Tribolium castaneum: one gene and its partners. The protein of the gene in region 1 purifies or fractionates together with the protein of each later gene. This does not show direct contact. Links are inferred from orthologs where the notes say so. Each region holds a gene or a part of one and is shown in the gene's direction. Other genes may lie near its edges.

What was found.
Region 2: the proteins of dbe (region 1) and ATP-dependent RNA helicase DDX24 purify together in Homo sapiens (affinity purification with mass spectrometry; 3 studies listed by BioGRID and IntAct, with this or other methods). This does not show direct contact. The link is inferred for Tribolium castaneum from reciprocal best matches to the Homo sapiens genes KRR1 and DDX24.
Region 3: the proteins of dbe (region 1) and nucleolar complex protein 4 homolog B purify together in Homo sapiens (co-immunoprecipitation; 3 studies listed by BioGRID and IntAct, with this or other methods). This does not show direct contact. The link is inferred for Tribolium castaneum from reciprocal best matches to the Homo sapiens genes KRR1 and NOC4L.
Region 4: the proteins of dbe (region 1) and protein KRI1 homolog purify together in Homo sapiens (affinity purification with mass spectrometry; 3 studies listed by BioGRID and IntAct, with this or other methods). This does not show direct contact. The link is inferred for Tribolium castaneum from reciprocal best matches to the Homo sapiens genes KRR1 and KRI1.
Region 5: the proteins of dbe (region 1) and Larp7 purify together in Homo sapiens (affinity purification with mass spectrometry; 4 studies listed by BioGRID and IntAct, with this or other methods). This does not show direct contact. The link is inferred for Tribolium castaneum from reciprocal best matches to the Homo sapiens genes KRR1 and LARP7.

Annotation. Positions count from the first base shown.
Region 1 is NC_087402.1:7,508,665-7,512,563, reverse strand, and holds dbe (KRR1 small subunit processome component homolog), read left to right. Parts: upstream 1-1,718; 5' UTR 1,719-1,899; coding exon 1,900-2,676; intron 2,677-2,729; coding exon 2,730-2,993; 3' UTR 2,994-2,996; downstream 2,997-3,899. Other genes in the region: Etf-QO (electron transfer flavoprotein-ubiquinone oxidoreductase, mitochondrial), read right to left, coding at 1-1,110, 1,155-1,256, 1,540-1,573; rod outer segment membrane protein 1-like, read left to right, coding at 3,026-3,145, 3,194-3,624. UniProt on the Homo sapiens protein: Part of the small subunit (SSU) processome, first precursor of the small eukaryotic ribosomal subunit.
Region 2 is NC_087396.1:20,626,246-20,631,134, forward strand, and holds ATP-dependent RNA helicase DDX24, read left to right. Parts: upstream 1-1,491; 5' UTR 1,492-1,557; coding exon 1,558-2,167; intron 2,168-2,216; coding exon 2,217-2,370; intron 2,371-2,431; coding exon 2,432-2,929; intron 2,930-3,024; coding exon 3,025-3,254; intron 3,255-3,792; coding exon 3,793-3,964; intron 3,965-4,029; coding exon 4,030-4,297; 3' UTR 4,298-4,317; downstream 4,318-4,889. Other genes in the region: Cpsf73 (cleavage and polyadenylation specificity factor 73), read left to right, coding at 1-53, 791-1,107, 1,155-1,277, 1,322-1,414; myb-like protein X, read right to left, coding at 4,322-4,889. UniProt on the Homo sapiens protein: ATP-dependent RNA helicase that plays a role in various aspects of RNA metabolism including pre-mRNA splicing and is thereby involved in different biological processes such as cell cycle regulation or innate immunity.
Region 3 is NC_087395.1:51,631-56,288, reverse strand, and holds nucleolar complex protein 4 homolog B, read left to right. Parts: upstream 1-1,646; 5' UTR 1,647-1,760; coding exon 1,761-2,094; intron 2,095-2,146; coding exon 2,147-2,476; intron 2,477-2,535; coding exon 2,536-3,013; intron 3,014-3,072; coding exon 3,073-3,406; 3' UTR 3,407-3,424; exon of another isoform or gene 3,425-3,482; 3' UTR 3,483-3,869; downstream 3,870-4,658.
Region 4 is NC_087396.1:21,290,119-21,294,952, reverse strand, and holds protein KRI1 homolog, read left to right. Parts: upstream 1-1,464; 5' UTR 1,465-1,540; coding exon 1,541-1,649; intron 1,650-1,695; coding exon 1,696-2,302; intron 2,303-2,348; coding exon 2,349-2,505; intron 2,506-2,554; coding exon 2,555-2,906; intron 2,907-2,957; coding exon 2,958-3,043; intron 3,044-3,089; coding exon 3,090-3,923; 3' UTR 3,924-4,013; downstream 4,014-4,834. Other genes in the region: Hmgs (hydroxymethylglutaryl-CoA synthase 1), read right to left, coding at 1-1,117; Srp54 (probable splicing factor, arginine/serine-rich 7), read right to left, coding at 4,014-4,834.
Region 5 is NC_087394.1:30,501,529-30,506,448, reverse strand, and holds Larp7 (la-related protein 7), read left to right. Parts: upstream 1-1,638; 5' UTR 1,639-1,719; coding exon 1,720-1,894; intron 1,895-1,955; coding exon 1,956-2,793; intron 2,794-2,847; coding exon 2,848-3,070; intron 3,071-3,127; coding exon 3,128-3,406; 3' UTR 3,407-3,625; coding exon of another isoform or gene 3,626-3,901; 3' UTR 3,902-3,951; coding exon of another isoform or gene 3,952-4,323; 3' UTR 4,324-4,775; downstream 4,776-4,920. Other genes in the region: Gar1 (H/ACA ribonucleoprotein complex subunit 1), read right to left, coding at 3,626-3,901, 3,952-4,323. UniProt on the Homo sapiens protein: RNA-binding protein that specifically binds distinct small nuclear RNA (snRNAs) and regulates their processing and function.

The DNA of each region.
Region 1 (3,899 bases):
CAAAACCTTCAGTTTCTTGTTTTTCGCTATTAATGGCTTCGTAGGCGCTTTCCGCAGCCAACATCCCACTTTTCATGGCATAATGCGTGCCTTTGATTTTTGGTACATTGAGGAAGCCGGCCGAACACCCAACGAGACATCCTCCAGGGAACGTCAGTTTGGGAATACTCTGGAAGCCACCTTCGTTCAAAGCACGCGCCCCATAGGCAATACGTGTACCTCCCTCGAAGTAGTGTTTGACGCTAGGGTGGTGCTTGAACCTTTGGAACTCTCTAAAAGGGCTCAAATAAGGGTTGGAATAGTCCAAGGCGACAACAAATCCAACCGCCACCAAAGGAGTATCTTCATTGAGGTGGTAGAGGAAGCTTCCACCGTAGGTGAATTTATCCAAAGGCCAACCAATCGAGTGCTCAACGCGGCCAGGACTGTGTTTCGAAGGATCAATCTCCCAAATCTCCTTCAAACCAATACCGTAGGTTTGTGGCTCGGAGTTTGCCCTCAAGTTGAATTTGTTTATGATTTGTTTGGATAAATGTCCATGGCAGCCCTCCGCAAAAATGGTACATTTGGCATGTAATTCCATGCCTCGTTCGAAATTGTCTTTAGGGCTCCCATCTTTGGCGATACCCACATCGTTGGTCGCCACCCCTTTAACGCTACCATCGGGATGGTAGAGGATTTCCGAAGCTGCGTACCCTGGGTAGATTTCAACACCCATGGCCTCGGCTTGCTCCCCAAGCCATTGCACCACGTGCCCCAGCCGCACGATGTAGTTCCCGTGGTTGTACATGGGGGTACCTGGCAGTACCGGAACAGGGATTCGACCCGTGGCTGTTAAAATCCCGAATTTGTCTTCCTTTACTGGGGTTTTTAACGGTGCCCCCTTATCCGCCCAATCAGGGATTAATTCATCGAGTGCTGTTGGTTGTATAACAGCTCCTGATAAAATGTGACCTCCTACTTGAGATGCTTTCTCCACAACACAAACCCTGAGCTCTTTCCCGTCTTTTTCAGCCAATTGTTTGGCTCTTATCGCGGCAGACATCCCCGCAGGACCTCCCCCGATTATTAAAATATCCGTCTCGTCCCCGAACCGTTCCATATTCACCTCTGAATGAAAGCTGGTCAATTAGTGAGTACTTTGAAATAATTACCTTTCCATCGTGGGTCGTTTTCTCGCGGCACAACGGTATAGTGGGTCGTGATTTTGGGAAACTGGTCCGAATAACATCGTGCCAAAGGTTTCAAAGATTTAGCTGGAAAAAAAAAACAATATGCACTTTGCAACATAAACACGGTACAAAGGTCACTCTGGACAATATTTCATAATTTATCCGTGAAAAACCACCAGAATGACTTACAACCATTAAATTAACGTAACTTCCAGCAAATTCTAACATAATTATCCCAAGATTATTGTAACAATAATTAGTTTTTTCAAAAAAAAAAATTATGAAATAAGTGTAGTGACCATTGTCGTGGTTTTAGTTTATTAATGTATCAGTTGGTTGCCAAGTAACTTTATAATAAAGAACTTACCGTATTTTATACTTGTAAACAAATTTAATGCCATGTCGACCAGCTAGTTGCCCTACTACACCTTTGACGTAACATTTGTGATTGACAAACAGCTGTTTTTAAGTGTGTCTGATACTGATTCCGCCAGAGGGCCCGTCATTATTTTATCGGCTTATATAATTATCTCATGATTTATTACATTTTTTATTATTATACAACAATGTGAGAGATTAGATCCTTTTATTATATCATTTATAGCGTTACTTCATGGAGTTTTGGGTTATTTCCAGTCACAGAATCCTGTATTATCGGCCACCTGTCAAAAGATTAATGCACGTGTTTTTTCCATTTCGTCATATTTTGGTGTTTTTGTGAGTGAAAATGCCGGATTCTAGCGACGATGAGTCCCAGGCGCCCTCAGGTCCCGTCGAGAACGCTTGGGCGATGAAAATCCCGGAGTTTAAGCCCGAGGATAACCCCCATGGTCTCCTGGAGGAGAGTTCATTCGCGACGCTTTTTCCCCAATACCGGGAGCAGTATTTGCGCCAAGTGTGGCCCCTCGTGCAAAAGACTTTAAAAGAGCACCACATCAATGCAGAATTGGACGTGGTTGAGGGAAGCATGACTGTGAGAACGACGCGTAAAACTTGGGACCCTTATATCATAATCAAAGCTCGAGACATGATCAAATTAATGTCCCGGAGTGTTCCTTTTGAGCAAGCCAAGCGGGTGTTGAATGACGACGTCGGTTGTGATATCATTAAAATAGGGAAAATTACAAGGAATAAAGAGAAGTTTGTTAAGAGAAGACAGAGGCTAATTGGGCCGAACGGTTGTACGTTGAAATCAATTGAATTGCTGACTAATTGTTATGTGTTGGTGCAAGGACAGACAGTGTCGGCTTTGGGGCCTTATAAGGGGTTACAGCAAGTCAGGAAGATTGTGGAAGATACCATGAAAAACATGCATCCTATTTATAACATCAAAGCTCTGATGATCAAGAAAGAATTAGCGAAGGATCCCAAGCTCAAGAACGAGAACTGGGACCGATTTTTACCCAGATTTGTTAATAAAAATATCAGTAAGCGGAAACAACCGAAAAAGAAGAAGGAGAAGAAACCGTACACGCCCTTCCCGCCCCCACAAACTGAAAGCAAGGTAAAAAATTCAAAAATTTTGTAGGAAACAAATAACACTTTGTTAAATTTTAGATCGATAAGGAGCTAGCTTCTGGCGAATACTTCCTCAACAAGGAGCAAAAACGGCAAAAGAAACAGAAAGAGAAGAATGAAAAACACGCTGCGGCTGCGAAGAAACGTGAGGAGAAAAGAAACGAAGCGTTTGTCCCACCTGAGGAGCCCTCAACCTCGAAGCAATCACCGAATGTTAACACGAAAGTTGATATAGCGTCACTTAAAGAAAAAATCATGAAGGCGCGCAAAGGTGCAAAAATGTTTAATAAACCTGTAAAATAACAACTTGTTTGATTTGACACCGAAGTTTGACAATGTCTGATCTAGACGAAGACGAATCCCAGGAAAGAATCGCCGTTAAGGGTGGTTTTCCAGTGCGCATAGTTGAGTACAAGAGCATCAAACTGATTGCAATTTTTTTGACAGTGTTTCTTGTAATTGACGTAATTTTCTCGTTAAAACTTTTAATTTCCGCAATACAGATCAGATCCCACCTCGGGTATTTTATTAACATGATTTCAAGCGGCGATGGTGATACTTTACCAGCGTTGCAAGCCGTGCCGGTATTTTTTTTTCTCATCATTAATTTAATGATGTGTTATTTCGTTTATGCGGTGTTCGATCCCAGCGAACAACCCGGCGCCAATCGAATGATGTTCTTTTTAATTATCTTGGCCCTTGTTATGGTGGTTGTTCTTCTGATAATAATTGTTAGTGTTATCGCACACGCGTATAGCACGCATCAGAAACTCCACGATGGGATTGTCACTGCAATGAATCATTATTTGAACAGTACGACCTATAAATCACAGATTGATCGCTTACAAATTGAAATGCAGTGCTGCGGAAGCAAGAAATATGACGAATGGTATACCATCAAGTGGCAGGATCAAACACTGGAGAAGGAAACTGGGTATGTTTAAGTAGAAAGCAGCTGTTTTGAAGAGATTATTTAGAAAACGAAAGTTCACACATTATTTTTTCTATTTTGTAACTTTAACAATGCTATTAACGCACTTGTTTAGGTTTAAAAAACTCGAAATTGAACAAAAAAAGTTATAACTAAACCAAAGATGTTGGTCCTCAATTAAGTAGTAACGATATTTTTGTATCCTTTAGCGGAAGACAACCATTTGATTAGGTAGAATTCAAAATGGAAACGTTTTATTTTACTAATTAACAACATAA
Region 2 (4,889 bases), on another chromosome or scaffold:
TTTGGTCAAGAGGAATTTTAATTATCATTTGCTGGCGGCTAACGACTTGCCAAGTAAGGAAAAAAATTTTGTTCTTTTTTATTTTTGTAAAAAAAATTATTACAAACCATATTATTACACTTATATTGCGTAAAATGAGCAGTGATATTCACTGGAACAAACTGTTTTGCTCTAGCACTTTTAGTTTTTGATTTATAGATGTTTAGTGAGTAGCCCGGCGCATCCACCATTTTTTTAATTTACTATGTGCTTATAAATGAGTTCTGGAGTAAGCTAGTGTTGTAAAAAAATAATGTAATACACAAAATTAACTGTAGAATACGCTGAAATAAACAGTTTTACTCTAGGACTTTTAATTAGTTGTAAATGTTTAGTAGATGACCCGGCGCATCCACCATCTTTCAATTTGAAATATGCTTATAAATAGGTTCCCAAGCAAGCTAGTGCTGTCAAAAAATAACGTAATACATGAAATTAACTGTAGAATACGCTGAAATAAACCATTTTACTTTAGGACTTTTAATTTTGGAGTTATGAATTTTTTTAGTAATAAACTTAAAATGTCTTTGCAGCCGGAACTGTTACCTATAGCGGCTCCGGGTTTGTACGATAAATTTTGATGCGTTGTTCATTTTTGCTTTAAGTCTCAAAGGTTGCGAGAAAAACGCAAAAAACATGTTGCAGTTTTCACTTTTTTCTACTTTTATCACTCGTGGCATAAAGCGTCCGATTTACACTGCGACTCGTTAAATAAACATATACTTAATATTGTTTTTATTTCATTTTTTAGAGTACACTGACATGAGTATGAGCCAAATTATGCAAAGACAGAGCATTCACTATTCGGGGAATGTGGGCGTTTTGCGGCACTTGTTGACCCAAGTGGCGGGTTTGCTCGAACCCGTAGAAGGGGACAAAAAGACAAGGGCCTTTAATGCTATTGATATTACAATAGAAAATAAAATTGTGACGCTAGAATGGGTTGCCAACCCTGTTAACGATATGTATGCCGATGCTATAGTGGCAGCGATACTTCAGGCCGATTTGTTGGACACTCCGATTAAAAACTTATCAACTAGTGTGAAAGTGGACCGGATGCACTTTAAAGTAATTATTTTTTTGTCGTTTTATTGATTCACATAACGAGGTTTTAGGAATGTTTAATTGAAATGTTGCAAGACATGTTTGGGGAAGATTCAGTCCCGAAAATGTTCAAAGGGGAGAAATTGTACGTTACAGTGAACGACAAAAAGGCCGATATTGATTTATCCACTCTGGTAAGGCAATTTTGTGTTAATCAAATTTTGCAATTTTTTTTCAGGAAGTGACGTGTCCCGAAGATGAGACTTTTAGGCAAATTGTGGAAACGGCCGTGTCCAAGTTGTATCAGTCATTAGCACCACCACAAATATAATTGTAATTAATTTGTTTAATAAATAAATTTTATAATAAGCAAATGTGGTTTTATTTAAACAAGCCTGCCAACTTAAATGGTTATTGAGGTTACGTTTATGTTATCACATGTCATAAAAGTGTGGTTAGAATTTTTTATGTAAAATGGTTAAAAACAAAATAAATTGGAAACCAGTCCCTGTGGAAGACCCGAATCTCAATTCCGAGGGTTTAGTCGCGTTCGAGGAATGTACAGATTACGGTTTGGTAAATTTGGAAAAACCAAGAAAGATAAACCGCTCCAAGATTTCCAAGAAGCATAAAAGCCCTGTCGTGGTTGAAAAACCGGCCAAGAAAAAACGGAAAGTGTCTTCCGTGGCTCTAACGCCCTCGAAACAGGGCAGTAGTGTTGAGACGCGCGTTGAAATTAACGAAAAAATCCAAAAATCGGACAGTTATCTAGTGTGGAGTAACTTCGGGTTGCCTGACTCAATTATCAAGGCGCTCGTTTTGCAAGGTTTTAACGAACCAACGCTGATTCAGTCGCTTTCGTTACCTGCGGCCGTTTTGGGGCGCAGGGACATTGTGGGGGCTGCGGAGACGGGAAGTGGGAAAACGCTTGCGTTTGGTTTGCCAATTGTGGCCGGAATTTTGAACGAAAAAAGTAAAGTTGTGGGAAACTCGGATAAAAAATTGTATGCACTTGTCTTGACACCGACAAGGGAACTGGCGGTGCAAGTGCGAGACCACTTAAAAGCCATTGTAAAATTTACAGGTATTTTTGAATCAATACTAATAACGACTTATTAATTTTTTTTCAATAGATATAAATATTGCGGTGGTTCTTGGGGGCATGGCTGCCGTAAAACAGGAGCGAATTTTGAGTAAGAGACCAGAAATTGTGGTCGCAACTCCAGGCCGTTTGTGGGAATTAATCCAACAAGGCAATGAACATTTGTCGCAAATAAACGATATTAGGTGAATAAAAGTCGAGTTTTTTCAACAAAATTTCATACTCATTTATTAAATATTTTTACAGATATTTAGCAATTGACGAAACGGACCGAATGCTTGAAAAGGGCCACTTTGAGGAGCTGCACAACATATTAGAACGTCTCAACCTTGATAAAACAAGAGCGAAACAAAGACAAAATTTCGTTTTTTCTGCAACGCTCACTCTAGTACACGATTTGCCGAAATACCGCTTCAATAAATCAAAGGTTTCGAAAATGACACCGCAACAAAAACTTAGCAGGATTATGACCGATTTGGGCATAAAAAACCCGAAAATTGTGGACATAAGTCAAGGTGGAAACACACCGGCGACTTTAACCGAAAGCCGAATCAGTTGCGGGATTGAGGAGAAGGACTATTACGTGTATTATTTCCTGCAGAAGCATCCAGGCAGGACTTTGATTTTTTGTAATTCGATCGGATGTGTGCGACGTTTGGCGAATTTGTTGGGCATTTTGGGGTGTCGGCCTTTGCCCCTTCACGCGTCCATGCAGCAGAGACAGCGTTTGAAAAATTTGGAACGGTAAAATATTGTGAAAAATGTTTATTTTTAATTTTTTTGCCCATGTTAACAAAAATTAAAAAATGTTTAATATTAATACTGTAATTTTTTAATAGTTTTAGGGACGATGAACACGGAATTTTGGTGGCCACTGATGTGGCAGCTAGAGGCTTGGATATTCCGAAAATCGAGCATGTTTTGCATTATCAGACACCCAGAACAAGTGAGAGTTATGTTCATAGGTCTGGGCGCACAGCTCGTGCGACTCAGCAAGGTCTCACTGTAGTTTTAATGGAGCCTTCGGAAATACAGAACTACATAAAAATCTGCAAAACTTTGAATAGAAGTAAGTGACGTTTTGGTTTCGGCGGTAAAACTGCTAATTCTATAAAATAAAAATCATTTTTTATGAACTATCTTTATGAAAAAGGTTAACGTTTAAATCTCATGAAAAAAAAATGTTGTAACAAATGATGATTTATGATAAAACTAAAAATTGAATACGGAAAAATTAATGATGATATGAAAACTGAATCACACATTTAAGGTAAAAAAATCTAAAAACTATCAGAACAACAATCAAAAGAAGCAGCCAATGAAAAGATTGTAGTAATGTGATAAAACAATTTGAAGAGAAAAATAAAAAAATACATCAAATTTAAAGAAATTCCAACAACTGTGACTAGTTTTTTGTATCCATATTTTTTACAGAAATGCAATCCTGTACAATATTTGTATTATTCAAAAAATTAAACAAATAAACCTCTATTAGATTTCTTAAGAAATACGATTAATAAAATTAAATCATCTAATTAATGAGATAATAACTGATTTATTTTGTTGGGCTGTGAAATAATTTATTGCAATTTTGTGAATTGTTACAGGTGAAGATTTGCCGATTTTTCCGGTACAGGAAGAGTATTTAAAAGCCGTCAAACAGCGAGTGAATTTAGCACGAGAACTGGACAAATTAGAATTACAGATACGGAAGGGAAATTCGGAGGAAGGGTGGTTGCGTAAAGCGGCTAAAGAAATGGATATTATCGTCGATGATTTGTATCCTTTAAATAACAATTCTGAAATCGCAACTGCATACATCACTTCCTTAACACAAAAATCAGTTCAAAAAAATTCGATTCTGACGAAATTTCGTCACAGAAAAAGCTCGCAGACGTTAAGAGAAAACAGTTAACTGCCCTTCTCACCAAACCCATTTTCCCGAAGGGTTTTAGCGGAAAATATCCGCTTATTTCCGGCGAATTTTCCCCAAATTTGGAAACCAACGAATCGGCTCTACAAACTGTGAAAAACGCTGTAGAGAAAGAATTGAAGTCGAAAAAGCGGATACCACTTTACAAACCTAAAAAAACTGCGAACAATCCAAAATAAAAGTTTTTATTACAATAAAATGGATTAATCAATCATGGTAACAACGACCCTGCGCCGTTTCTTCGCGGAAGACGTATTGGGAGTTTTCTGTTCACCGTTATTTGTTTCCGACACTTTATCCCCACTTATCGAAAGATGCAAGTCTTCCAAAAATTGCATTTCTAGAGGCGTTGGCCTGACAGGCGTTGAAGTACATTGTTGCTCGTTTTGGGGGTTTTCCGGGTCCGATATGTGTAAAATGGGTATTTCCCCTTCGTCCGTTAGGTTAACACAACCATCACTGTTGAATAAATCGGAAGGGCACAAAGTTTTCTCTTTTGCATGATTTTCCCCAGGCACTTGGATGTTTTCATTGGATTTCTTCTTCGTGGCGCTTCGTAAAATACGACTTGATTCCGGTTTTTCCTTTCCACCTGAAAGCCTTTTCTCCTTTATCTCTTTTTTATGGACTGTGTCTTCCTCCGTTTTCTCTTTCTTGCCAGTGGAATGCCTTTTTCTCGGAGCACTGTCTTTGATTTTCTTCGATCCTGTCACAACTTTGGCCTTTTCTGTGCTTTTCTTACACTCCTTAGCTGGTATTTCTTCCTCAGTG
Region 3 (4,658 bases), on another chromosome or scaffold:
ACCTCGACTAAAATCACGAAAAAAATTGGAAAAACCAAACAAAAAATTAACATTTAGACTTTTAACAATTCTAGAGAAATGTGAAGGCATATAAAAGTCTAAAAAACTATGCTAGAATGAGTTTTAAAAAATTTAATTTAAAGTTTTACACTAAAAAAAATCATAACTCAAAATGTAAACGTCGTAGAACAACGCGGTTTGTTCCATTGAATTCTACGGATTATTTTACATATTATATCAGTTTCTCACAAGAATTAAAAATTTTAATTTTTTGCTCAAAATTTTATTCAGCAAAAAAATTCATAACTCAAAAATTAAAAATCGTAGAGCAAAACGGTTTGTTCCAGTAAATTCAACGGCTCATTTTCTGTATTATGTCAGCTTTTCACAAGATTTAATTTTGATTTTTTTTTCCAATTTCCAATTTTTGTCGCGATTTTGATCGATTTCCCGTACCCGGAACATTTATCGCCCAATAACTACGGAACTATTAGAGATAACTCAATGAAGTTTACTATTGCTAGAAAGCTCTTTTAATTATCTATCATTTGCAAAAAAGGTTATTATTTACCGATTGATAGTTTTCGAGAAAATTGTTAAATAAAAGCAAAATTCGGTCGTATAAACAAACATTCATAACTTAAAAAGTATTGGGAATTTGGCCATTTTTTTCGTGCCAATCAATTCCCCGAATCATTTTGCATATGCAGACATTAAAATAGTTCCACCTTTTCAATTAGTTTTGTCGTAATTGAGAATTGAGAAAACAAAAAATTAAAAAATTTAGAAAATTGCCAATTTTAAACGTGTCTCAAAATCAAATAAAACCCATCTCATCTGACAGATTTTGAGGTGCCCATTACGATGGAAAAAAGCATTTTCTTCTAGCTCTTTTAGTTCGGCCGTAATTGGCGTTTGAAAATTGAAATTTTTTGCGATATATCGCCTTGAAACCTATGCCATTTTGAAAAGTTTTTTTATTCCGGTTCTCTTCGATTTATCGGATTTTCGCTAATTCTAATCGTTTTGCCATAATCGGCGTTTAAAAATTGAAAAAACGTGAAAATGGAAACCTTTTTTTGCGTTTTTTTTGAAAACTGAAAGACTGAAAGCACAAACAAAAAAATCATCTGATAGCGATTAAAATTATCTATGTTTTCGTCTACACCCGAAGCCGCTCCGGGCAACGGTTCCGGCTACGGGGCGTTCAAAGTTTTACACTAAAAAAAAATTAATAACTTGAAAACTAAAGTCGTGGAGCAACGGTCGTTCTGAGAACATTTTTCGAACATAACTCCGGAAGTATTAGAGATAACTCCATGAAGTTACTATCGTTAGAAAGTCTTTTAATTATCTATCACTTGCAAAAGACTATGGTTCTCCGACTTATGTTTTCGAGAAAATTATTAGCTGTTTCAAAACTATAAAAACATTTTACTAAATTATTTTTTTAAATAAGGTTGATAAAAATGTAAAATAGTTATTAATGATAAGATCTCTCATTAAAACTATAAATTACATTAGTTATTATTTTCTTGAAGTCATGAATAATTTATAACCTCTAATTTTGAGAGAAAAGACGCCGTTGGCGTTTTTATAGTTTTGAAACATGTAATATGTCTCTGTGGTGGTGACTTGACAAGTAACAGTCACCAACTTGGTAACTTGACAATTAAAATCCCCGTCCTGTCCGCCATAACCTCACTTTGTCGAGAAAAATCTGTGATCAAAAAGTGGTGTTTTCGGTCGTTTTTAGGAAAATGTCCAATCAGGAAAAACCGGTAAAAATCTCGAAACAATTACGTTTAAAAGCTCACGAGTTCCTCTCGTCTCGTAAAAATTCCGAACATTTGCTAAGTATTGTACGTCATTTCGAATCGGGTGCGGACCTGTCATCATGTTTACTCACTTTGGAATTGATATTTACGAATTTATTAAAAGACAGGGATATGTACATAGAAGTGGTTCCATTAAAACCCATCGAAAAAACTGAAACGAATCAATACAAGGAATGGTTGAGGAACTTGTATGAAAATTGCTTTAGTAAAATTCTTGAATCATTTGAGAATGACTCGAATAAGATTCAAATTCAGGGTAAGTGATTGCATTGTTGGAATCGTTGGATGTTTATTGGGTGGTTCTTAAGGTTTGTCCACTGCCATGAATATTATTTCCTATGAAGGAAAATTTCCTTTGGAGAATAGAGGGAATTTGGAGTGCTATGTACCACTGAATAGACTAAAGCCTGTTTTGATGAAACTACTCTCAAACAAGCACAATAACGTTCATCTTATAAACAAATACACGGAATATCTTCTTTATAGTGACATTCTTTTCTTTTCTTGGAAACTCTTACCGTCATTGACGGCTAAAACTAACCCAAATGAAACGTACATAATGAATTATTTACGCTTACTTGAAAAACTCGAATTGCGGAAACCCGACGAACAGCAAACTTTATGCGGAAATGAAACTGGTAACTTTACTTAAATATAGCCATCAGAAACTTAAACTGAACTGTTTTCAATTTTTTAGGTGATTTTTTCACATTTGACGAAAACGTTCCTCTCCGTGCGTTAAATAAAGTGTGGCATTGTGTCATGTTGTGGGAGCACAGCCCCCAAACCCACAAACAACTCTTGATTGTTCTTCTCGAACGCGCCCTTCCCCACTTGGAAAAACCCCTTTTCCTAACTGACTTTCTCATGGATTCGCTCGATGTAGGAGGCCCTGTTAGTTTGCTCGCCCTCCAAGGAATATTCACCATGATCCAAGTCCACAATTTAAACTATCCCAACATTTTCGCTAAATTGTACTCAATGTTTGAACCGGAAATCTTCCACACCAAATATAAGGCGCGTCTTTTCTATTTGTCTGACTTGTTTTTGAGTTCCACTCATCTGCCGGAAAATCTTGTTGCGGCTTTTGCCAAGCGCTTGGCCCGTTTAGCTCTCATTGCGCCCTCTGAAGACGTCGTCATCATCTGCATGTTTATAGGGAATTTGATTTTGAGGTTAGTGGTTGTTTAATTACAGCCCCCTATTTATAATTATTTTAATAAACTGTTTACAGACATCCAGGCCTCAAATGTTTATTGAATAATCCAACGGAAGGCACCGCCAGCTCTGATCCATACATAATGGAAGAACGCGATCCAGTCAAGTCAAACGCTATCAACAGTTCTTTGTGGGAACTGAAGAGTCTTCAACAGCATTCAATACCAAGCGTTGCAACGGCCGCTAGATTCATTAATTCACCTTTGCCGACAATCGAATGGGACTTGAGTCGGATTCTGGACGAAACTGGAGATGATATTTTCGATAAAGAGGTGAAAAAACATGGAAAATTGATCGCGTTGGCCTTTGACAAGTCACATGATCAAATTCTACACTATTGGAACATTTAATTACGAGACTGGATCAAGGTAATAGTCACATGTACGGAATTATTCAAAATAATTGATTTTGAATGATTCTGTATAGATATTTTATTGTGATAAGGAACGGGCGTGCCTTGACCATTATTTGCGTCAGGACATATCTACAATGTGTTGCGGATTTCCACCGTTTAAATCACACGCATTGTTGCTGTGTAACATTTGTTACCTAGCTAACAATCGGCATTGGTGTGTGTATTCATCATTTCAGCTTACACCATCATGTATTTTTTATTGACTTTTGATTAAAAAATACAACTCATTAATTTATCCAATTGAAAGGTGATTTTTCAATGCCTAAAGTAATGTTGAAAATAACAAAAAAAAAACATCGCTGTGTTATTTTTTATGTATTAATACTTTAGAATAGTATTTCTTAATGTGTATTGTTATTTCTAATTTTTGATGTTGAATAAAATGTTGCTTTTTTCAATGTGTTATTCTGGTTCTGAAACAATAAGTCCTTTATCTGAAATCAACTTTGGAATCTCCTTATTCACTTTTATGGCAAATACATTATCTAAAATTGGAAAGTATTAAATATACAGGTTGTTCCGTCTAAACCTCACATTAGAAGTATTGAAAGTTCTAATAAAAATATTTATCTGAAAGTTACTACTCAGGCATAATCCGTTAATTTCTGCTCAACGAAAATATTTTCAAGAAGGCTATTAACTTTTTCATTTTAAATGGAAAGCTATGTTTTTCACTGCGTTTTTGCATTTGTTGAGTTATTTTAAGAGAGTGTTTATAAGCTTTTCCTATGCCTAACTTTAACCATTTTTGAGATATTTAGTATTTTTTGAAAATTTTTGGATTTACATGTCTCTTAAAAAATAGGTAACTCGCTTAGTTTTAGAGATTTCGAAATCATGTTTGGAGAATTAAAAGAGAAGGCCTATATCTGTTCTTCAGTGTGTTCAAAATTGAAAATGAAGTTACAAAACTCAAAACTTTTAAGGTTAAGTTTGGACAATTTCAAGTACCCATAAAATTCTTTCAAATGGGATGTCCGAATTTTTATTTTACTAGGTAGAGGAGAATTTTGTTCTGCATCAATCTGTATTAGTATTCTCTATACCTATCTGTGATAATTTACAAGTTATGTTGCTTTTTTTGTCATTGAAGGAAATTTTTTATTAGCCACAACTATTTTTGCATAGTTTGCCATAAAATAAATTCGTTGAATGTTGGTTTAAAAATCTTTAATTTCCCACATTTT
Region 4 (4,834 bases), on another chromosome or scaffold:
TGATTGAGAACAGGGAGGCTGCAAGCCCCGAACCGTAGGAAAATAACCCGATTTTGCAACCGGCCAATTCCGAGACAGTTTTATTTAATAAAAGGGAGACAAGCCCCCCGTATAGTGACGGTGTGTACATGTTACCAACTTGACTTGCGATGAGCAACGAAGGCTTGGTTTTTGCCTCGAAAGTGTCTTTCGTGAAGTTGAGGAAAGCCTTCTCGACGTCACGATCGAAATAACTCTCGGATAATTTAACCGAATTGAAATTTTCCAAACCTGGGAATTTAACTGTGCGCTGATTGGGCGCACTTGTGAGAAAATCGTTCAAAGCAAGCCTAGCTAGAGACTTTTGGACCAGTTTACAATACGGCGAGTGGAACAAAACGGCATCAAAACACCCCAAATCAAATGCAGAATTGTTCTTTTTCGAATAATTCTTGCCATAGAGTTGGTAACAATTATCCAAAGCACTCAAGTAGCACTGAATCGATAATTTACCATCGACAGTGGGATATTCGGAGGTCAAGTCTGGCTTGTAAAAATCATACGCGTGCTTGACGTACGTCGCACGCACCCCTCTGTCGAAGACAAGGGGGGCGTTGGGCCCCACTAGCATGGCCACGGCCCCGGCGCCCCCCGTGGGCCTGGCAGAGCCTTTGGCATAGACGGCGATATCGCCGCAGACGACCAGGGCGTAGCGCCCGTTCCAGGCCGAGGACTCGACCCACGAAATGGCGTTGAAGAGGGCTGCCGTGCCCCCGTAGCAGGCATTGGTCGTGTCGATGCCTTCAATGTCGGTGACTCCATGGGGCTCGAACAGTTGCATCAGCACTGTTTTGACGCTCTTGGACTTGTCGATGATGGTCTCGGTGCCCACCTCCAGGCGCCCTATGGCCGAGTAATCAACGGAGTACTTCTCCAAAAGGCGCTTCACCACCGTGAGGCAGAGAGAGTTGATGTCTTCGCGGTCTGTGCAAAAGCCCATCTTCTGCTGGCCCAGTCCGATGGTGTATTTGCCGGCGGAGGCCCCGTCGAAGGTTTCGAGTTCCGTTTGGTCGACGTACTGCGAGGGGAAGTAGAGTTCTAGGGCATGGATGCCCACGTCTTGTGGCCACGAACCCATCACGATTTGACACACTTGCACTTGGTTACGCCACCGAAGAGAGTCTGAGTGCGGACTGAGGTGGATTCGGCACCTCACACCATTCCAATTATAACTTACACCCTACTCTTTGAGTTAACCTCAATTTCGGATTTTTGAACGGTGACAGATGCGCAACGAAACCTAAGCGCTAACAACCCAACGACCACAAACCCCAAATTCATTACAAAGCCACGAAATAATCAATTTAGTCACACCGGACTGTTCCACAACAAATACTATTGCTAATTTTAAGTCACAAGAGCACATATAATTAAATTAGAATTAATTTGAACAAGTATAAGATAATGCAGGCATTAGACCAGAAGCGCATTGGTACAAAAGTGCCAAACTCGTGTGACATATAACCACACTTTAGGTGGCACTCAAATTGGCCCAAAAAAAATGTCCAAAATATTCGATAACGACTCGGATTCCGACCCTGAATTAAAAACAGACAACGAGTACGCCAAAAACTACGACAAGTGGCGAAAAAAAGAGGAATTAAACAGGCGTAAGCACCCAGACTTGTCCAACCCCAAATGTCACGTTTCTTTCAGTAAAAACGAAATATGGTGAGGAGTTACTGGACGAGGAGTCGTCCAGTTCGTCCTCAGATGATGAAGAAGGCGTCGAACTGACGGACGAAGTCGAGAAACAATTTTTCAAAACCTTGTCATGCCTCAAAAATAAAGATCCGAGGATCTATGACGAAAACGTGCGTTTCTTTGACGAAACTCCCATAAATCAGCCGAAAACAAGCAAGAAGAGTAAAAAAGACAAGCCCCTGTTTGTTAACGACTATGAGCGAGAGCTGATTTTGAAGAAAAACGGTGAATTAAGTGACGATGAATCAGGGGAAGGACCGCCACGTTCGCCAACTTATATCGAAGAACAGAATAAGCTCAAGGAGAGTTTTAAGAAGGCTTTGAATCGTATTAGTGAGAGTGATGATGAAGATTGGGGCGGGGTGCTTAAAGTTAGACAGAAAACCGAAGAAGAGAAGAAGAAGGAGGAAGCTGATTATTTTGAGTGGTTGGCTGGGCAAAAGGAAGAAATTGATGATAAAGAAGTTGCAAATGAGTTGGAGCCGTTGAAGAATTACTGGAATAAGCCTGATTTGGATGAAGGCGAGAAGTTTTTGAGGGACTACATTTTGCAAAAAAAGTAAACTTCATTATTGAGCGAAGTAATCCTGAATTGTGTTTTGTAGATTTTTGAGTAAAGAAGATGAGGATTATATTCCAACGTATGAGGAAATTGTCCACGATTCTGATAAAGACTTGTCTGAAGATGAAGAAGCAATTGAAAAACAGGAGGAATTTGAACATAAATATAACTTTAGGTTTGAAGAACCCGACCAGGAATTTGTAAGTTAATGGTTTTGTATTATTTTTTGATCAGTTTTGGTTGTTTTAGATTAAGCGGTACCCAAGAACCATGGAACATTCCTTGAGGAAAACAGACGATAAAAGAAAAGTCAAACGACAAGAGACTAAAGAACGGAAGAAGAAGGAAAAAGAACAAAAAATGCAAGAAATGAAGAAACTTCAAGAGCTGAAACGGAGGGAGATTGAGGAAAAGATACAAAAACTGAAAGAGATTACCGGAAACAATGACATGGAATTTAAAGATGAAGACTTGGAAGGCGATTTTGATCCTGAAGCGCATGACAAGCGGATGCAAAATTTGTTTAATGATGAGTTTTATCAAGGACCGGAAGGTGAACAAAAACCGGAATTTCCCGAACTTGACGAATTATTAGAAATTGGTAAGTAAATGCCGATCATTTTTTGGTTGTTTTATTAATAATTCTGTGAAGAAAATTGGGAGAAATGGAAAGGTGATGATGAACCACCTGGAGAAGAAACCGAATATGAGCCACATTGTGAAGATGAAGATTTTAATGTGAGTCTGAAATTTAGGAATTTTATTTTCTAACAATTTTGTACAGATGGATTGCGATTATGATCCGAAAGCCGCAACCAAGCAAGAATTAATCGAAAACAGCAAAGGTAGGAAAAAACGGAAACGCAAATCACTCTTTGCCAAAGCTGTAAGTCAGCCAAAACCCGTATTTGACCCGAACGATAAAACTTATGAGCAATATCTGGACGAATATTATAAATTTGATTGTGAGGATATTATTGGCGACGTTCCTTGTCGATTCAAATACAGAAAAGTGGTTCCTAATAGCTTTGGTTTGTCGATTGAGGAGATTTTAACAGCGAGTGATCGCGAATTAAATAAATGGTGTTCGCTCAAAAAAGCCATTCAGATTCGGCCAGATCACGTCGAAAAGTACGACCAAATCGCGTTTGAGAAAAAAGGAAAAAACTTGGAATTGAAGAAAAAGATTTTGCCCAGTTTATTTGCCAATGAAAATGACAAAGAAGAAAACAATGAAGTTGAAAATAAGAAGAAAAAGAAGGTGAAGAAAGTCAGGTGTGCGAAAACAAATGATGCGGCAAAAATAAACGGTGATGCCAGCACGAATATTAAAAAGAAAAAGAAGAAGAAAAAGAAGATTGTGCAAAACAATAATGAAACAGACAGTAACAACAAACAAAAACTATCAAATAGTGAAACTGTTGTTTCGAATAAAAGTGCGACAAAGGATAAGTCAGATGGCAACAAAAAACGAAAATTATCAAGTGGTGAAGCTGTCCCGAATAAGAGGGTGAAAAAGAGTAAGAAACAAGAGGTAGAAATTACCGATGCCCGATTGTCCGCCTACGGGATTAATCCTAAGAAGTTTAAAAATAAATTAAGATATAAGAAAAATTGAACAAATAAATTGTTGAGGAAAAAAAAACATTTTAATACTTTATCCACATAATATATTTACGACACAAATGAAAAATACAACGTCAAAAATCTACGGTGAGTTGGAAATATCCATATTATCCGACTTTTCCGACCCCTTTTCATTCCCCTCAACCTCCCTCTCTTTCTCCTTGTCTCGTTCGGAATCGAACCCCTTCTCCTCTTCATCGTAATTCCTGGGCACCTTCTCCTTAGACCTCGACCTCTCCTTCTTCTTCTTCTCCTTCCTCCTATCCCTACTCTTTGACCTACTCCTCTTCTTGGCCTTTGGGGACGGCGACGGTGTCCTCCTCCTCCCTTTAGACCTCGACCTCCTCCTCTCCTTCTCCTTCCTCCTCTCCCGCGACCTCGACCTCCTATGACTACGACTGCGCGATCTCGACACCTTCTTTTCCCCACCCTCTATACTACTCTCCTTCTTATCTTTCTCTTTCTTATCCCTTTCCTTCGACTTCCTATCCCTCTCCTTTGACTTGCGATCCTTATCCCGTTTCCTATCTTTCGACCTATCCCGAGTCTTAGATTTGGCCCTTGGCCTACTGCGACCCTTCGATTTCGACCTTGACCGGCGTTCGCGCGACCTTGAACGCCTCGTACGTGAAACCGAACGTTTCCGAGAGCGAGACTTCGAGCGTTTACGCCGGTCACGTGATCGTGAACGGCGTGAACGTGACGTTGAACGGCGACGACGTGAACGTGAACCACGCGAGAGTGACCTTGAGCGTGAGCGGCGTCTACGCCCTCTAGATCTTGAGCGGGAACGTCGCGAGCTCCTTTTATCTTTAGTTAGCATTCCGATAACTGGCTCAATCGAGGCATTGATCATGTTTTGAGCCTCTTTAAAGCGAGACATTGCTTCTTCAATTTCCTTCT
Region 5 (4,920 bases), on another chromosome or scaffold:
GGCACTTGGCCTCTACTATAAAACTCACCCTATATGGACAACACCTGCTGGTGGTACTCTCATTCTCATTATCTCAACAGGAAAAATTATCTAGTAAGAGATTGAAAAGTAAGTAGGTATAAATTTTTTACAATAAATTCTTTATGAATAATTTTTAATCAAATAGAAAAACTTTCATAATGAAAAATTTGTGTAATTGAATAGACAATTTTTACATTTTTATAAAATGAGTGTATTTACCTCATTTTTAAAAAGAAATCGGAAAAAAATTGACAAAAAGATAAATAATAATCTATAAGTAGGTATTCAGGTTGTATGATGATTGAACGTGCTTATAATTATTGTAACATTATCCACTTGCCTATCGTCTGCTAAAACTTCATGCAGACGTTAGTTTGAGTGACTTAGATAAAAGACTTAAGCCTAATTTATCTTGATGACTTAAATGCTTGTTATCTACTTGTTAATAAAACAATGACATCAGTAAATCGTTTTACAATGTGAGTACAATTAAGTACACACATAAATGATATGAATAGGGTACAAAGTTTTAATTTAAGTCACTTGACTTTTTTTATTGATAGCTGGTGTATCTAAATACAAAAAGTAGTTATAAACATTTGGATAGGACAAGTTGTAGTTATTCTAACGTTTGTTTTCTTTGTTTGTTTGTTGTTATTTTGTATTTCGTATTATTTTAAACTTTTAACTAGAAAAAACTTATACATTTACGGATCAATATTGTGGATCAATGATTCTTTTAGACCAGAATTAAATTAAAATTGCAAGGACTAACAATTAAAAAAATTAATGTGTTTTTCAAAATATCTTTGCAAATGTACATACTATAACTTTTTATTTTGAATTTGCCTCATTAATTGTGGCCAAAAGCCAAAAGATAAAAACATCTCCAAAAGTACATAGTTAAATAATAAATAAGCACGAAAAAACATCGGCAAAGATACTATGAGTTAGTTATGATAAATGTTTTTTTTAAATGACTGTTGTAATTTAATCTGATGAATAATTTTACTTATGGTTTCATAAAATTTAAACCTATTGTAAGATTGCTCAAGTTGGTGGCTTATATGTTGCTAAGGCGATAACATCAGTACTTATACGTGCTGATGTTTAAATTTCACAATCCATAAGGCAAACAATATAAGTATGTCAGTGATTTAAGTAACTTAATGTAATAAACAACTTACTTTTATCATTTTATCGGTGACTTTATAGTTCGTTTCTAAGAAAGATGAAATCAAGGTGAGTATTCAGTTTCACATAATGGATTATTTGAAACGATTTGAAGTACTATTCAAATTCATGGTAAAACTTAATTAAATTAGTTAATAAAGTATAAAAGTTTTTTTTTCATAATCTAAACTAAATACATAGAGTTATTCACTTAAGACTTCACGCCTGATTAGGTAAAAAGTGCAGCACACAATGCACTAGGAGTAGCATGGGTGTAATTGATACAACTAAACATAATTATTTTTTGAATAAGAGCTATCTCCTATGAATAAGAGTAAGCGGCGTATAATTTAAAAAGTAAATGATTTTTTTTGCATTCTAAAAACATTTTTTTTAATTAGGCAACCAAATTTACCTCCAACAAATATTTTTTTTCTATGGTTGGCGGCAGTTTCTTTTTCAATTTCATTTCCAAACGCTAAGTTAGGTTATAATTTTCATTTTTACTTCTGCAAAGTATTGAAAATGGAAAATGAAACGAAAGAAAATGCAAATGCACACGACGATTCAATACTTAAAAAAGGTCGCCATCGAAAAAAGCAACTCTACAATTCCATTTTGCAGCAAATGGAATTTTATTTTAGCGACTCTAACCTCACCAAAGATAGATTTCTATCTCAATTAATAAAGGAGAATCCTTGTAAGTGACTATATGATTATTTTATGAGTAGTTGTAGGTAAATACCAAGCACTTTTTTCAGTTGTCGACCTGAACGTATTTTTGAAATTTAACAAAATTACTAAACTCACAACCAGCATAGATGATATCCAAAAAGCTGTACAAAAGTCGCAGTTAATCGAATTATCAGAAGATCGTAGTAGAATTCGTCGTACAAAACCGGTTAAAGAAAAGGCTAACGTTGATGATTGTACGATTTATGTAGAACGCCTAAAATCCGATGCAACTCATGAATGGTTGAACTCTGTTTTTTCTGAATTTGGAAATGTGGTCTACGTTTCTATACCAAAATACAAAAACAATAGTGCCATAAAGGGTTTTGCTTTTGTCGAATTCGAGAAAGAAAAGGAAGCGCAAAATGCTTTAAATTACTTTGAAAGCATTGGCTGCAAAATGCCGTCAAATACAGAACCAGAAACTCTTTGTAGTATTAAAACATTTGAAGAAAGTAATGAACAATCTGAGGCTTCCTCTAAAAATTCTACACTGAAGCCAAAATCTGGAGAAGACGAAAAGGCAACAAAAAAGCGAAAACTTGAAGACAATAGTGAGAATAGCGAAAAACTAGATAGTGAACACTGTGAGAGTAAAGCGGAGGAAAAAATAAGAAAACGAAAACTTGAAGAAAGTGAATCCGGCGAAAGTGAAGAAAAAGGGAAAAAAATGAAAGTCGATGATAGTAAGCACACTGAAGAAAATGATGAACACAGTGAAAGTGACGAAAAAGAAAAAAATTCAAAACATGATACTGGAGACGTTTCTGAGTCGGACGATGCCGAAAATAAGAAAAAGAAGAAATTGAAAAAAGAACACAAAAAGAAAAATTACATAAAAGAATTGGGCCTCCAAGTGTTATCAAAGTAAGTGAAGCAGCTAGAATTATCTTTAATCATTGATAAATAATTGTTTTTTAGAAAAGAGTGGAAAAAGATGCGAAATCGGTATCTAGATTTACAAAAGAAGAAAATGAAAGAGTTTAAAAAACACCTTCTAAAAGCCAAGTTTAATCAACCAAATTATGAACAAAAGTCGAAAACTCCCACTGCTAAGACTGAACTCAACAAAGAGGATTTTACCAAGGGACTTATTGTAAAAATAAAGCTAACCGAAGCTACCCTGGATATAAAGAAACTTAAGGTAAATTTTCTAAACTAAATATCTTGGCCAATTTATTTGCGATAAATCGTTTTTCAGAATGAAATTAAAACTTCTTCAGCTGATATATTGTACGTAGATATTCCAAACCCTGGCAGTGAGAACATTTATGTAAGATTTAACACCACGGAGGGCGCTAAAAATTTTTGCTCCCAAGAATCTTTTGGCAAAAAAGAGGTATTAACAGGACAGGAAGAATCTTCATATTGGGAAAAAATTAAAACAGATCGTGAGGATAAACTAAACAAAGCAAAAAAGAAACAACGTGGTAGAGACAAACTGTTAAAGAAAGCAAAACATACAAAATTTGATGATTAAGGTTTTGTTTTCAGTTTAAATTTTTTTTAAATATTCTTTATTTATTAACTTTGTCAAACAGTGGCACCATCCATTTCGTGTTGTTTGCTGACATATTCACACAAAAATTTGAAATAACCTGTAGTTCTTATTTTTCATAGATCTATTTTCGTAATAAAAATTTCATACACTTAATGGAACAATTGCCAACCACAAAAAACATTGGTCACAATTTCAAGTCTACCACCTCTTGCCGCCGCCGCCCCCTCCTCGGCCGCCGCCAAATCCACCCCCACGACCACCTCTAAAACCGCCGCCGCCCCCACGACCCCCACGTCCACCGAAATTGCCGCCTCCTCTTCCTCCAAACCCGCCGCGATTGCCGCCCCCTCTGCCACCACCGCGGCCTCCGCCACCCCCACGACCTCCCCCTCGACCGCCTCGTTTCTGGACTGAGCCTGGGGGCTTCGGTAGGAATCTTTGAAGTGGTAACAACTTCGCAGGATCAATAAACAACTGCAAAACATTATTTTAGATGTGTGAATGGTAAGTGAATTTTTTTATACCTTTTGATTCTTTTTAAAACTGCTAGCTTTTATGTCGTCTCCGAGACGTATCGAAACGTAATAATCTCTGAGATTTCCAAAAATTTCATCAATTTTTCCGATTTGTTCCTTATTTTCGAGGTAAATCGGCGCATTGAAAAATGGAACGTCTTCTATTTCTACTTTAGCAACTAAATCATCTTGTACGGTGTAATCGAAGTAGCCCAAAGGAATCACTCTCTCAGGAGGGCCTTGATCATAGTTTCGCCCGCCGCCCCCGCGACCACCAAAACTATTTCTCCCGCCGCCTCCACCAAAATTTCGAGCGCCGCCGCCCCCACGACCACGACCTCCAAAGCCGCCACCACCGCCGCCTCGGCCACGAAAAGACATTTTGTTTCACTCCTCAAATAATTAGAAACGTAAAAGAGCGTCCCTTTGTAAACACGTGGTTTACACTAAATTTTCAGTGCGGCAACATAACCTCTCCTGCAAACGTAACCTCCAACTGTAAACACTCCTAAACTTTGGGCCCTCTAGGAGTTTTCTGAGTTACCATCAAAACAGAAAACTGTAAAGTTAGAAGATGAAGCTATAACTTCAAACCACATGTGTATAATTAGTTGCATACTTTGAGGGAAAAAAACATTTTATTTTTAAATTAACCTTGAACAAAATATTGCTACGCCCCACACTTCCCATTGGTTTCCTTTCTTGTTGAAATAACCATTTAAAGCTGATTCTAGCAACAGTGCATAATTATTAATTATTTGACTTCGTTCTGGGAAAGGTTCCATTGCGAATATAGCCAGTGATTAACATTTTCCAACAATTATTATCATCTGGTAAGTACTACACATTCTTTTTTTAACCATTAATTCCCTCAATTAAATTAAATAGGTACTAGTTACTTTGTTAGGCCACATAATGATGAATTCTTAGTCACTTCACATTTATGTTGGGGTGTCCATTTTCGTAATTTTTTTTTTA